Coturnix japonica: one gene and its partners. The protein of the gene in region 2 interacts with the protein of the main gene of each other region in a biochemical or structural test. Links are inferred from orthologs where the notes say so. Each region holds a gene or a part of one and is shown on either strand. Other genes may lie near its edges.

Region 1 (3,500 bases), on a different chromosome or scaffold from region 2:
TTTTTCACCTGCAAAAATCTGCCTGAAGGAAATTAATAAATTCTAGCTTTGAATTCATGTCTTTAGGTGAGGGAATTTGAGGTTTTCCTGAATAGGAAAGGATTGATTGTAAACGTACAATAGAAACTGCTCTAAAAGATTGCGAAGATGAATAGATTTGTACTGGTTTGCCTGGTTAGATCAATGATACCTGTCAGATCTTTTTCTTTATTTGAATTATGCCACTATTTTAAAGTATCCTTGATGTGGATTTATGCAAACAAACGGTGAGCAAATAGATTTCTGTATCAGAAGACTTCCTTTGTTGAGACCATGTGAATGAATGTGTTTTTCCTTGACCTGTTGAACTACCTGTCCTTTCTTCTATTAGTTTTCCAGAATGAGGTTCTGGGTACATTACAGAGGGGTGAAGAAGAAAACATTTCCTGTGATAACCTAGTCTTGGAAATCAACTCTCTCAAGTGAGTGTCCCCTTATGAAGATACTGTGTTCTGAATAGTTGTGTTTGTCAGCAGATTGAGAAAGAGGAGAAATCACATGGATATTCACGTTTAATTATTGCATATAGATTATTGCAGAAGGAGAAATGCAGATCAGAGATTAACTCCCACCAACGTTCAGTCATAATGCATCTGTAGCTTCCTCAGTCATTAAGCTCTATTAGCCCCATTTCTGTAGGAGGAGGTGGAATTACTGTTTAGTAACTATGGACCAAAAGAGAGAGCAAGCCAATTCTTAGCACCGATTTCATGCAGGTTCATGTAGGAACTGCAGCTCTTTGCATTGCAGCGCTCAACCAGCTGCCTGCAGCTGAAACTGCTGCGGTGTGGCTTGTCTACTGCCTTTATACAGCAGCAAGTCTGGAACATATAATCAGAGTGCCTTTTACCTAATGTTTCTTGAATACGAACCTGTTTTCCTTCTTTTGCGCAACAGTATTCATACAGCACTCTAGTAAACATGAGGGTGCTGTCCCTGCTGCAGCTCGTTCCTCTGTGATAGCAGATTTTCAGGACTTTTGGTCTTACACAAGGCGGGGAGGGAAGGAGGGGAGTGTGACAACCTGGAAAAAAACAAAGAGCAGAAGATTTGACTTATGTCTTCCACTATGTCTCTGTGAGGAACCGTAATCTGCAAAGATAAGGTTCTGTGGATTGTTTGTTGGATGGTTTCTTTTGTCTTTTTCCTTGCAGGTATGCATATAACATCAGTCTGAATGAGATGATGCAGGTGCTCAGTAAAGTGATTCTGGAGTTCCCATTACATCAGCTGGATGCAAACCTGGACTCCCAGAAGTATTTCTCAGCATTACTTCCTGTGAGTGCTGCTCCATTTGACTCTTCTTGGGGCTTGTCTTCTGGTGTGTAGGAGTCTGCCTGAGGTACTTCCTGGTTGATAAGTCTTTTTTCTTAAGCCTGAAGCCACTTGAACTCCTCAGGTTTGTGAGCCTCTTTGTCTTCTAAAGAAGTAAAAATGAGCTGACATTTTTGTACCTGCTTGATAGAACTCTATTCAGACTGCAGGTGTGAGGAGCTCTGCTTCAGTACCTCTGATTATTGCCTATCTTCTGTGTGATAGTAGAATGTGTAATTTGTAGAAGAGATCAGAGAGGGACTGATAGAGTTGTCTTTATGGGGCTGCATTCCGGGAACCAGATTCCAATCAACCCTAAATCCTTTCCTTGGGGCAGCAGGGAGCTCTTGTCTCCCAATAGGCTCTTTCCCAAAGCACTGGAAAATTTAGAAATAAGGAAGTAGTGTGGGACCATGTCAAAGGCCCTACATAAGTCCAAATATATGACATCAGTTGCCCTTTCTTTGTCCACCAATGCTGTCACTCCATCATAGAAGGCCACCAGACTGATCAGGCATGATCTGCCCTTGGTGAAGCTGTGCTGGCTGTCTCTGGTTACTTGCACATCTCACATGCTCCTAAATTCCAGGAAGATCTGCTGCATAATCTTCCTAGGCATAGACGTGAGGCTCACAGTCTCCGAAAGCTCCTGTTTAAAGAATGGCCACCAAGGTTCTTAGAGCAGTGAACAACTTGCAGTTGCTTAGTTGGTAAGAAGTACAGTCCCTTAAGTTACTGATACTTACATCTTAAGAGTCCCAAGCACTGGCTTGGTGTGGGTTAGTGCATAGTGAAAACATAGCTGGAGTTTGTAGCTGTGCAACTAAAGTGGCCTCAGTCAGTAGTTCTATCAGGCTAAGATCTGCTTATAATGGCTTATGTATGGCAAAGTTATTTTGTGTGAGATGGGAATATTTGAATTGTGAGAGTCTCGAATATTGGAAGCCTAGTGAGCTTTGGTGAATTGAGTCGCATTTCTTACCCTCCTTGTAGCTCAGTTTTGGTGAGGAGATGTTAAAGGAAGGTGGGTTGTTTGTGCAATAGCAATGGTGGAGCAGTCTCAGACAGCTCAGATGGGGAAATTGTGGAAGTGCCATAGTTATGATGTATGATTTGACTTGAAACCACAGTATGGCTCCTGAATATGAAGCTCCTCAGTGTTGCAACAGTTTAAGACCATCAGGTAAAGGATATGCCTGTGGGTATTTTTCAGGTGAGGTGTAGAGGTCTGAGATATAGTTGCCCAATTTGAAGTTATGCCAGTTGTCTTGTTTGGCTCTTGTACATGTTGTAAAGCAGAGAAAGTACAGAAAACATGACCCTTCCCAGACTGTAGGTACACCTTGGGTGACTGTGGCTGAAGTTGCTGTGCTTCTGTTGTCACCAAAGCAGTATCAAGTAAAGTTATGTAGGTGAGGGTGTCTGAAAAGATCTAGGGGAGGCAATTGTAGCAATTCACCAAGCTCATGCTTGGGCTTCTCAAATCTGAGTATTAGTAATTGCTGAGCTGGCTGGTGTTTGCACTACTGCCCAGCAGCCAGCATCTATGGTGCATCTCTTCAGGTTTCTGGTAGGGATCCTTCCTCTCTGTAATATCATGCAAGGGTACACAGCATGGGATCGTGCATTCAGGGAACAAATGGATGTAACAATGAAAAATGCTTACATGGAAGCTGGTAATTTTCTTGGCACTCTCTTTTTCTTCTTTGTTGTTATTTGTTCTTCTGCTTCAAAAGAAAGTTCCACTAAAACATTAGCTGGTTTTTGGTGGGATGCTTGAGAGCATGTACAAACCGCTCTGTATTAGTCTGCTCTGAGGTGATGTGAAGTCTCAGTTAAACATCTTTATTGTGATAATCCAGTATTCCAGTCAGGGAATCAAAACCAAGAACACTAATATGTTCTCAAGGTTGTTTGGTAAAACCAGGTCTTGTTATTATATCTCATGTGAGCAGACATCTGTTTAATGGACAGAGGAGGGCAAGTGCATTAACTGGTTGACTGAAGAGTTTTGTAAAATGCTTTTCTGGGCCAGTTTCTCAGCACAGCACGGCTGAGAGGCTGGGTTGAGCACACAGATCCATCTCATAGCTCAGGAACACTTCTGTGCTTTCTCCCTGCAGCTGTTGAAGAACTGGACCCCGTTG
Region 2 (3,971 bases):
TCTTCCTATTGGCCGCCCGACTGCGCTGCTAGGGCGGTGGCGGCGCCTTCCGATTGGGCCTCCGCCTGGCTTCGGGGGGATTCGGGTGCGTCCGTAAGGGCTTCGCGATTGGTTCCGATCCGTCACAGGCATTTCCGTAACCGCCTCGGGATTGGTCCCGACGACGCTCGGGTATTTCCGTCAGGGCCTCGGGCTGGGGGCTAACGAGTGCGTCGGGCGCTTCGGGTGGCTATTCACAGAAGGCGCCTAGGGCCGTTCCGCAGCGTAGGGCGGCGACGGGCATAGGCGGCTGCGCGGCTTTGGCGCACACACAGAGCGCAGCAGCGGGAGCCCGGCACGCAGCGGAGGCAGCAGCGGGGACAAAGGGAGCGACCAACAGAAACGGGGAGGGGGGCCCGGCGAGAGGCAGCCGGCGCCAGAAGGGAGCGGCGGGAAGCTTCAGCCGGGCGGACGGCTCCTCATGCGCCTCGGACGCCCGGGGAAGCAACAGCGAGAGCCGCCGGCGCTCTGAAGCCGGCTGAGGACGAGCTGGGAGCCAACGCCGCCGCCATGGCCCGCACCGCCGCCGCCGGCCACCGCCCGCACTGCAGCCTGCCCAGCGTGAGCCGCCGCCAGCTGCCCCTGCGGGAGCAATGAGGAGCCGCGCCGGAGCCGCCTCAGCGCCGCACTGAGAGCACACACACACACACACTGCGAGCCAGCCGGGCACACCGCGCCGCTTCACACCGCTCCGCCCGCCGCGGATCCCGCCGCCGCCGCCGGATCCCGTTGCGCGGGGCCGCATCGCCTCCCGTCGGCGGATCCAGCAGCTCCGAGATCCCTCCGCCGGGGGAAAAGTAGTCCCGCCGCCTCCCTCCCTCAGTGGCGAAGGGGGAAGGAGAGGAGAGGGCAGGAGGCAGAGAGAGGAAGGAGGCGAGGAGAAAAAGAAAAGAGAGAGAGAAAAAAAAAGAAAAAAGGCAAAAGACATAAAGGGGAAAAGGAGAAGAGAGAAGCCGAGCGGCAGGATCGGAGGAGCCGGGCCGCGAGCCTCCGCCCCATGTGACTGGGCTGAGGGTGGGGGCAGCGAGGCCTAGCACCGAGCACAGCCCCGCTGCTCGCGGCCGGCCCGGGGGGCTGCGGCTGGGAGGAGGCGGCTCTCGGACCCACCGGCACTGCGGGAGGATGGCGCTGTGAGCGCCGGGAGGAGCGAGGCCGGAGAAGAAAGGAGACGCGAGGAAAGGCCGGCGGGGAGAGCGAGAGGGGAGGGGGCTTCCCCGGGGGGGAAGGGGCCGGCGGTTCATGTGGCACAGCTCGCCCTTCGCCTCCCGCTGAGCCCGCAGCACACAGCCCCGCGAGCAGCCCCGAGGAGAGCGGAGGAGGCGGACAGCCCGACGGGACGCAGCCGGAGCCGGAGACCATGTCCGGGCGGCCCAGGACCACCTCCTTCGCGGAGAGCTGCAAGCCGGTGCAGCAGCCCTCGGCCTTCGGCAGCATGAAAGTCAGCCGTGAGTATCGGGCCGTTCCCTGCCGCCCTCCTGCCCTGCCTCGCGTTCGTCTCGGGTGGGCCGCGAGCTCGGCCGGGCCTGCGGGGGACACAAAAAGGCCGCTCCCGGCCCTGCCCTCGGCCCCTGCCGGCCGTGCCGTTTCGCCTCCGCGGGGGGCTCCTCGGGGTTACCAGCACCCCTGTTCTGCCTCCTGCCTCGGGGAGGAGGGGATGAATGACGGGCACGCGGGTACGGCCGTGACATTGGTCCCAATGAGGTGTTTTGTGCCCTCTGAAGGAGGGAGATGGAAGAGGTGGGGGGGGAGCTCTGTATCAGGTGTGGGAAGCCCACGGCCCGGCCTATTAAAGGCGGAAGAAAACGGGGGGCTATTACAAAGGCCGTCCGAGGGGGTTACAAAGGGTGTATCATACGCTGCTAATGATCCCCAACGGGAGGGAGGAAGAAAATCCTCATTGTGGCTTGCGAGTGGTTGTTTCGAGCTGCCTTGCCCAGGTTTTCTCAACGGGGATATTTTGAAGAACGAGGCCTGTGCTTTATTCCACACGGGCATGCTGGAAATGATCGGTGCTTGATGGGTGCCCACCCTTTGCATTGCAGCTGGTGGGCTCGGCCACACTATATGAATGGAGAATGGGCATTGCTTCTCGGTACGACCAGAGAAAGGCCCAGCTGCGGGTCACCTACAATGAACTATATCTCTTGAATGGCAAATAATTCCTGAAGGTTTCTTTGAATACGTGCCTATTAACAGTCAGATCATTGCCGATTCATGCTACGGGCTTTGTTTTCAGTAATATTCCCCCCTTTTTTTTTTCCCCTATGGAAATGGAGGGCTGGGTCTTTATGGGACCTGGAGCGCTTGATGGGCGTTAAGGTTTGATTGATCCGTTTGATATCCCGTGTGGTCACACCTGGCACTGCTGTGTGCGGGTTTGGTTCTTGGTGTTGGAGGCTTTTCAAGCCGGGGCTCTGCCCGGCTGGGGGTTTTTTGACAGATGAGAGAAATTCTGACGTTTTTCTGCATCAAAATGTACTTCCGCTGCGGTTGAAGCCTTGAGGAGAATATTGGGCTGAGGTTCTGGAGCTGCTGCTTTGTATCTGCATGATCAGGGTGCCTGCTGCACTCCGAGTGCCCTTTATACTCTTATATGCTGCTAAAACGGGTTGTGTTTGATCTGGTTCAAATGTATTAAAGATCTTAATTCACACGGGGGGGGAGGGGGGAAGGGGGAATATTTAAGACTCCATTTTAATGTATCGATTTATTTCACGTGAGCGTGGAATAGGAAGCAGGTTTTGTCGCTGGGTATTTCTGCAGGTGGCTGTTTAACGCTATAGCCACACTTAGCCCTGCCACGCTCCAAAGCTAAATTTGCCTTATTCGAGCTGTACGGCTCGATTCTTGAAAGGTCATTGATGCTCCTTTCCTGTTTGTTTGAGGTCAGAAACCAGACAGATGCTCGCCTTCGAAGCGGGTGCTAAGTGATGCAGACTAACAAGTTTGCAAATACGATTTGATCCCAAGTGTGGAACACGGAGGGAGAAACAAAGGCCGTAGCATAAAGCACACGCACTTGTGATAACCCCCCCCCCCAGCCCCTCCTCCCCAGTCGCTCTAGTCATGTGCTCCTGGTCCTTCTGCTGTCTGGAAAAAAATGTCAGAACAAAGCAAGAGAACCGCATGCAAGGACTGTGTGGGAAAGGCAGGCGTATTTTTCACTTAATCTATCCGTGTAAGACAGTGCAGGAAGTTTCGACTTCTTATTTTCCTTTGTAAGAGAGCAGCGCCACTGATTGCCAGAAAGGGTGATATTTTACTGGTTCTCTTGAGATTGTGAAGCAGATGGAAATGGATGGATTGCTGCTCTTTGAGTCCTGTAGGCAGCTGTTGTATCCCCATCTTGATTCAGACCTTCTCCAGGTCACCAGGAAGCAAAGCCTATCCTCTATGCCAGCCTTTTTGCTCGCCTTTGTAAGGCTGGGGTGGTGGTGAAATGAGGTGGTGAGGTCACGCTTGCTTTGGTGACCACCTTCTAGCTGATCCCGGCAGTAGTTCCATTCCTTTGAAAGGATTCAAAGGACGAGGTGGAAGCATTGAGGAAGGAATGGAGGAGGGTGTGTTGGACCTTGTGTTAGAGAGCTGGAGTGTGGTGATTGCTCTTCTGCTCAGGATATGGCAGGCTTAGGCCCTGGAACAGGCTGCCCAGTGAGGTTGTGGATGCCCCGTCCTTGGAGGTGTTCAAGGCCAGGTTGGACGGGGCCCTGGGCAACCTGATCTAGTAAAGGTGTATGTTTGGTGGCCCTGCCAGGCAGGGGGGTTGGAACTACATGATCCTTGAGGTCCCTTCCAACCCGGCTCATTCTGTGATTCTGTGAAAGGGGGGAGTGGCCATTGACTTTTCCATCTTTTTAGACTTTGTGCTCGGAAGTTGTTGAGAAGCTTGAGCCTTGAATGGAAGGGGATTCCCATCAGGGTCTTGTCCTCTG
Region 3 (3,500 bases), on a different chromosome or scaffold from region 2:
CTGGCCATCAACCTGGCACTCAGTGCTGTCAACCTCGCCGAGTGCGCTGGCGACGCCGTCTCGGTGGCTGCGTTGGCTGAGATCTACGTGGTGGCCGCGCTGCGCATCAAGGCCAGCCTGCACCGCTGCTTCCACTTCCTGGCTGTGAGTCTGTCCCCCCTTGGTGTCCCCTCTGTCCCCCTCCTGGTGTCCTCTTTGCAGAGCCTGGTGTCACATCCTCCTTGCCCACCTTGGGTCCCTATATCATGGACTCTTACCCAGGCATATCTCCCTCCAGCGGCCCAACATCCTGCCCCCCTCAGCCTCCATGGGATCAGTGTCCTCAGCCCCATCCCTGTAGCCCAATGCTGCACATCCCCCTGCCCTCCCAGTTCCCACTGACCCTCGCTTTCCCTGCAGCGCCCCTTCCTCTGCAGTGCCCGCCGCGTGGCCCTGTCCCATGGTGGAGCTGTGCCCCCCGCCATGCAGTGGCTCTGCCACCCCTTGGGTCACCGCTTCTTTGTGGACGGGGACTGGGCCGTCAAGGGCGTCCCAAGGGAAACCATCTACAGCTCCGCCGGTGACCCAGGTATCCCCCAGAGCCCCAGAGCCCCACTTTGTGGCTGATGGTGGGGTGGGTGCTGACAGCTGCTCTGTGCCGCAGTGGACCCGTTGGCGCAGGTGACCCAGCTCTTCCGTGAGCACCTCCTGGAGAAAGCACTGTACTGCGTGGCCATGCCTGAACCCGGCCGTCCTGCTGCCCAGGGAGAGGGGTGAGTGTGGGGTGGGTACTGGGGGGGTTCCCCTTCCCTCTGCTTGTGGTGGGGATGGCCCCACTCACGTCCCTTCTACCAGAAGGCGCTTTTCGGATGCGTTGGAGTACCTTCAGCTGCTCAATGGCTGCTCCCATGCCAGCAGCATGCCTGGCCCTACGCCCTCCATCAGCTCCGGCCTGGCAGCAGTGACAGGTGAGGCCAACATCCCAAACCACGGGGTCTTCCCCCATGGAACCTGCTCCAGGGATCCATCCTGTTGGGTTGAATGGTCTTCAGAAGTCCCTTCCAACCAACCACTATGGTTCCGTGCTTCTGTCCCTGCAGGCACCGATCCTGTGTCCAAGTGGTGGGCATCCCTCATCGGCACCATCATTCACTGGCTGAAGGATGATGAGGAGGGGGCTGAGCGGCTCTACCCGCTGGTGGAAGCCATGCCCCGGGCACTGCAGAGCTCTGAGTGAGTGCTGGGGGCAGTGGGGCTGGCTGGGTGACAGCTTCTCGTGTCTGTTCCTTTGTGGGGTGACTTGATGCAACCCGCTGTCCTTGTGCAGGAAGCCCCTTCCCCGTGCTGCACTGCACTCCTTCAAGGCGGTCCGGGCCATGTTGAGCAAGCAGGACGGCAGCCAGGCCAGCCTGAGCCACTGTGAGAAGGCCAGCAGCTGCCTGCGAGAGAGCCTGGAGTTGTGCAGCCCCCCCAAGTGCACCATCGACAAGGTGAGGCCAGGGAGGGGACAACATGCAGCCCAGCTCGGGGGAGCGCCCGGCCCTCGCAGGAGGCGTCCCTGGCCCTCGCGGGGGTGCATTGTAGTTGCATTGCATGTGTCAGACTGGGAGTGCAATGCCCCTGCCATGCAGCCCGGCGGGGGTCCCGCACAGCGCCTGCCTGCCCGAGAGGGCCCTGGAGGCGCACCCCATCCGTCTGCCCACCCTCTGCTCACCCACTCCCCCATATCTGACCCCTTTCCCACAGGCGGTGCAGCTTTTACTGTGCGACCTGCTCCTGGTCACTCGCACCAACCTGTGGCAGCAGCAGATGAGTGCCAGCCAGCAGCTGCGTGGCACCTACCAGGCGTCTGCCCTGGAGCTCCGTGGCTTCCAGCAGGACCTCAGCAGCCTGCGGCGCCTGGCACAGACCCTTCGGCCCGCCATGCGCAGGGTGAGCCCCCTTGCAACCCATGCACAGTGCACTCCAACCTGCCTTCCTCATCCCACCCCATCCCACCCCATCCCATCCCACCCCATCCCATCCCATCCCATCCCATCCCATCCCGTCCCATCCCATCCCATCCTATCCTGTCCTATCCTGTCCTATCCTTCCCTTTCCAGGTGTTCCTGCATGAAGCCACTGCCCGGCTGATGGCCCGTGCCAGCCCCACGCGCACCCACCAGCTGCTGGACCGCAGCCTGCGGAGGAGAGGGGTGCAGGGCAGCAAGGCAGGTGGGTGAGGGGGGCAGGGACACCCCACCAGCTGCACCCCCATAGGGCTGGGGGGTGGGGGGTAGTTTCGGCGAGGGATCCATTCTGGGGTGGTCTAACTCATCACCACCGTGCTCACTGTGTCCCCAAGTGCCACATGTAGCACAGCACACGGGGGATGCTCAGTGTCCATCCCTTCTCTCTGTCCCCGCAGCCGGAGAGCCGGAGAGCCACCCCACGCCGCGGGAGCACGCCGAGGCGCTGCTGCTGGCCTGCTGCTACCTGCCCCCCAGCTTCCTCTCGGCCCCCGGGCAGCGCGTGGGGATGTTGGCTGAGGCCGCCCGCTCGCTGGAGAAGCTGGGGGACAGTCGGACACTGCACGACTGCCAGCAGATGATCATCAAGCTGGGCAGCGGCACCACCGTCACCACGGGCTAATGGGGGATGTGGGCACTTGCCACCTGTCCCCCCTCCCACCCCGCTCCGTGCAATACGGGTGGTGGGGACTCCCTATGGGATGGTGTCATGGTGCCGTGTCACCATCCGCTGTGGGTGCTGGGGGTACATCCCGGTGTGGGGCACCCTGGTGGCTTCTGTCCCTGTGCCCAGCACAGTTGGGTGACGGGACGTGGGGACCTCTAGTGACACTGTCACAGTATTGCACGGCACTGAGCTGCCTCCTCCCAGTGCCCGACACCCCCCTGCAAAACCCCAGCGCAAGTTTGGGGCCGTCCTCACCCCATTCTGCTGCGTGTCCCTGCCCCTCCCCGTGGGTCCCATAGCACGGGGTTAGTGGGGAGGGGAGGGACACCTCAGCACTGTCCCCATTAGGGGAGGGCAGGTGGGTTTGCCCCGCGGTGGCAGCTAAGATGGCACCATATGGTGTCCGTGGTAGGAAAGAGGGGCCCCCCCTGCCCTCCCCTAGCACTGCCCATTCCCCCCATTAAGAGCTGTACCCCCTGCAGCCCCAACCCCACGCGCTTTGGGAGAAGGGGTGGCTCTGGACTGGGAGGTGGAAGACTGGTGGGTGCCCCCGTCCCCTTGCTGCGCCCCTACTTTGTACATAGCTCCCCGCTGTGCCCCACCTCACCCTTACCCCCTCCCCTCCCTTGCCTTTTTAAACGGTATTTTCATAGCTGCAGAGTTTTGTACAGTGAATTAAAGCCAATTATTTATACTGTCGTGTGCTGGACTGGGGGCGAGGGGTCTGACACGTGGAGGGGGGGCACAGAACATAACCTATGGGTTCTGCCTTCACCCCAGCGTGAGGCTGCACAGGATGGGGAAGGGGGCAAGGGTGGCAGGGATGGGGACATTGGCTGCAGTAG

Evidence for each region. The genes of interacting proteins can lie anywhere in the genome.
Region 1: of the proteins of GSK3B (region 2) and EIF2B5, one has a biochemical effect on the other in vitro, tested with the Homo sapiens proteins (2 studies listed by BioGRID and IntAct). The link is inferred for Coturnix japonica from reciprocal best matches to the Homo sapiens genes GSK3B and EIF2B5.
Region 3: the proteins of GSK3B (region 2) and SREBF1 form a complex in vitro, tested with the Homo sapiens proteins (2 studies listed by BioGRID, with this or other methods). The link is inferred for Coturnix japonica from reciprocal best matches to the Homo sapiens genes GSK3B and SREBF1.

The regions. Positions count from the first base shown.
Region 1 is NC_029524.1:13,792,502-13,796,001, forward strand, and holds part of EIF2B5 (translation initiation factor eIF-2B subunit epsilon), read left to right. Parts: intron 1-370; coding exon 371-461; intron 462-1,193; coding exon 1,194-1,317; intron 1,318-3,476; coding exon 3,477-3,500. UniProt on the Homo sapiens protein: Acts as a component of the translation initiation factor 2B (eIF2B) complex, which catalyzes the exchange of GDP for GTP on eukaryotic initiation factor 2 (eIF2) gamma subunit.
Region 2 is NC_029516.1:71,650,950-71,654,920, forward strand, and holds the start of GSK3B (glycogen synthase kinase-3 beta), read left to right. Parts: upstream 1-1,171; 5' UTR 1,172-1,396; coding exon 1,397-1,484; intron 1,485-3,971. UniProt on the Homo sapiens protein: Constitutively active protein kinase that acts as a negative regulator in the hormonal control of glucose homeostasis, Wnt signaling and regulation of transcription factors and microtubules, by phosphorylating and inactivating glycogen synthase (GYS1 or GYS2), EIF2B, CTNNB1/beta-catenin, APC, AXIN1, DPYSL2/CRMP2, JUN, NFATC1/NFATC, MAPT/TAU and MACF1.
Region 3 is NC_029529.1:4,932,036-4,935,535, reverse strand, and holds the end of SREBF1 (sterol regulatory element-binding protein 1), read left to right. Parts: coding exon 1-144; intron 145-399; coding exon 400-568; intron 569-643; coding exon 644-752; intron 753-834; coding exon 835-947; intron 948-1,079; coding exon 1,080-1,212; intron 1,213-1,306; coding exon 1,307-1,469; intron 1,470-1,725; coding exon 1,726-1,911; intron 1,912-2,081; coding exon 2,082-2,193; intron 2,194-2,386; coding exon 2,387-2,610; 3' UTR 2,611-3,353; downstream 3,354-3,500.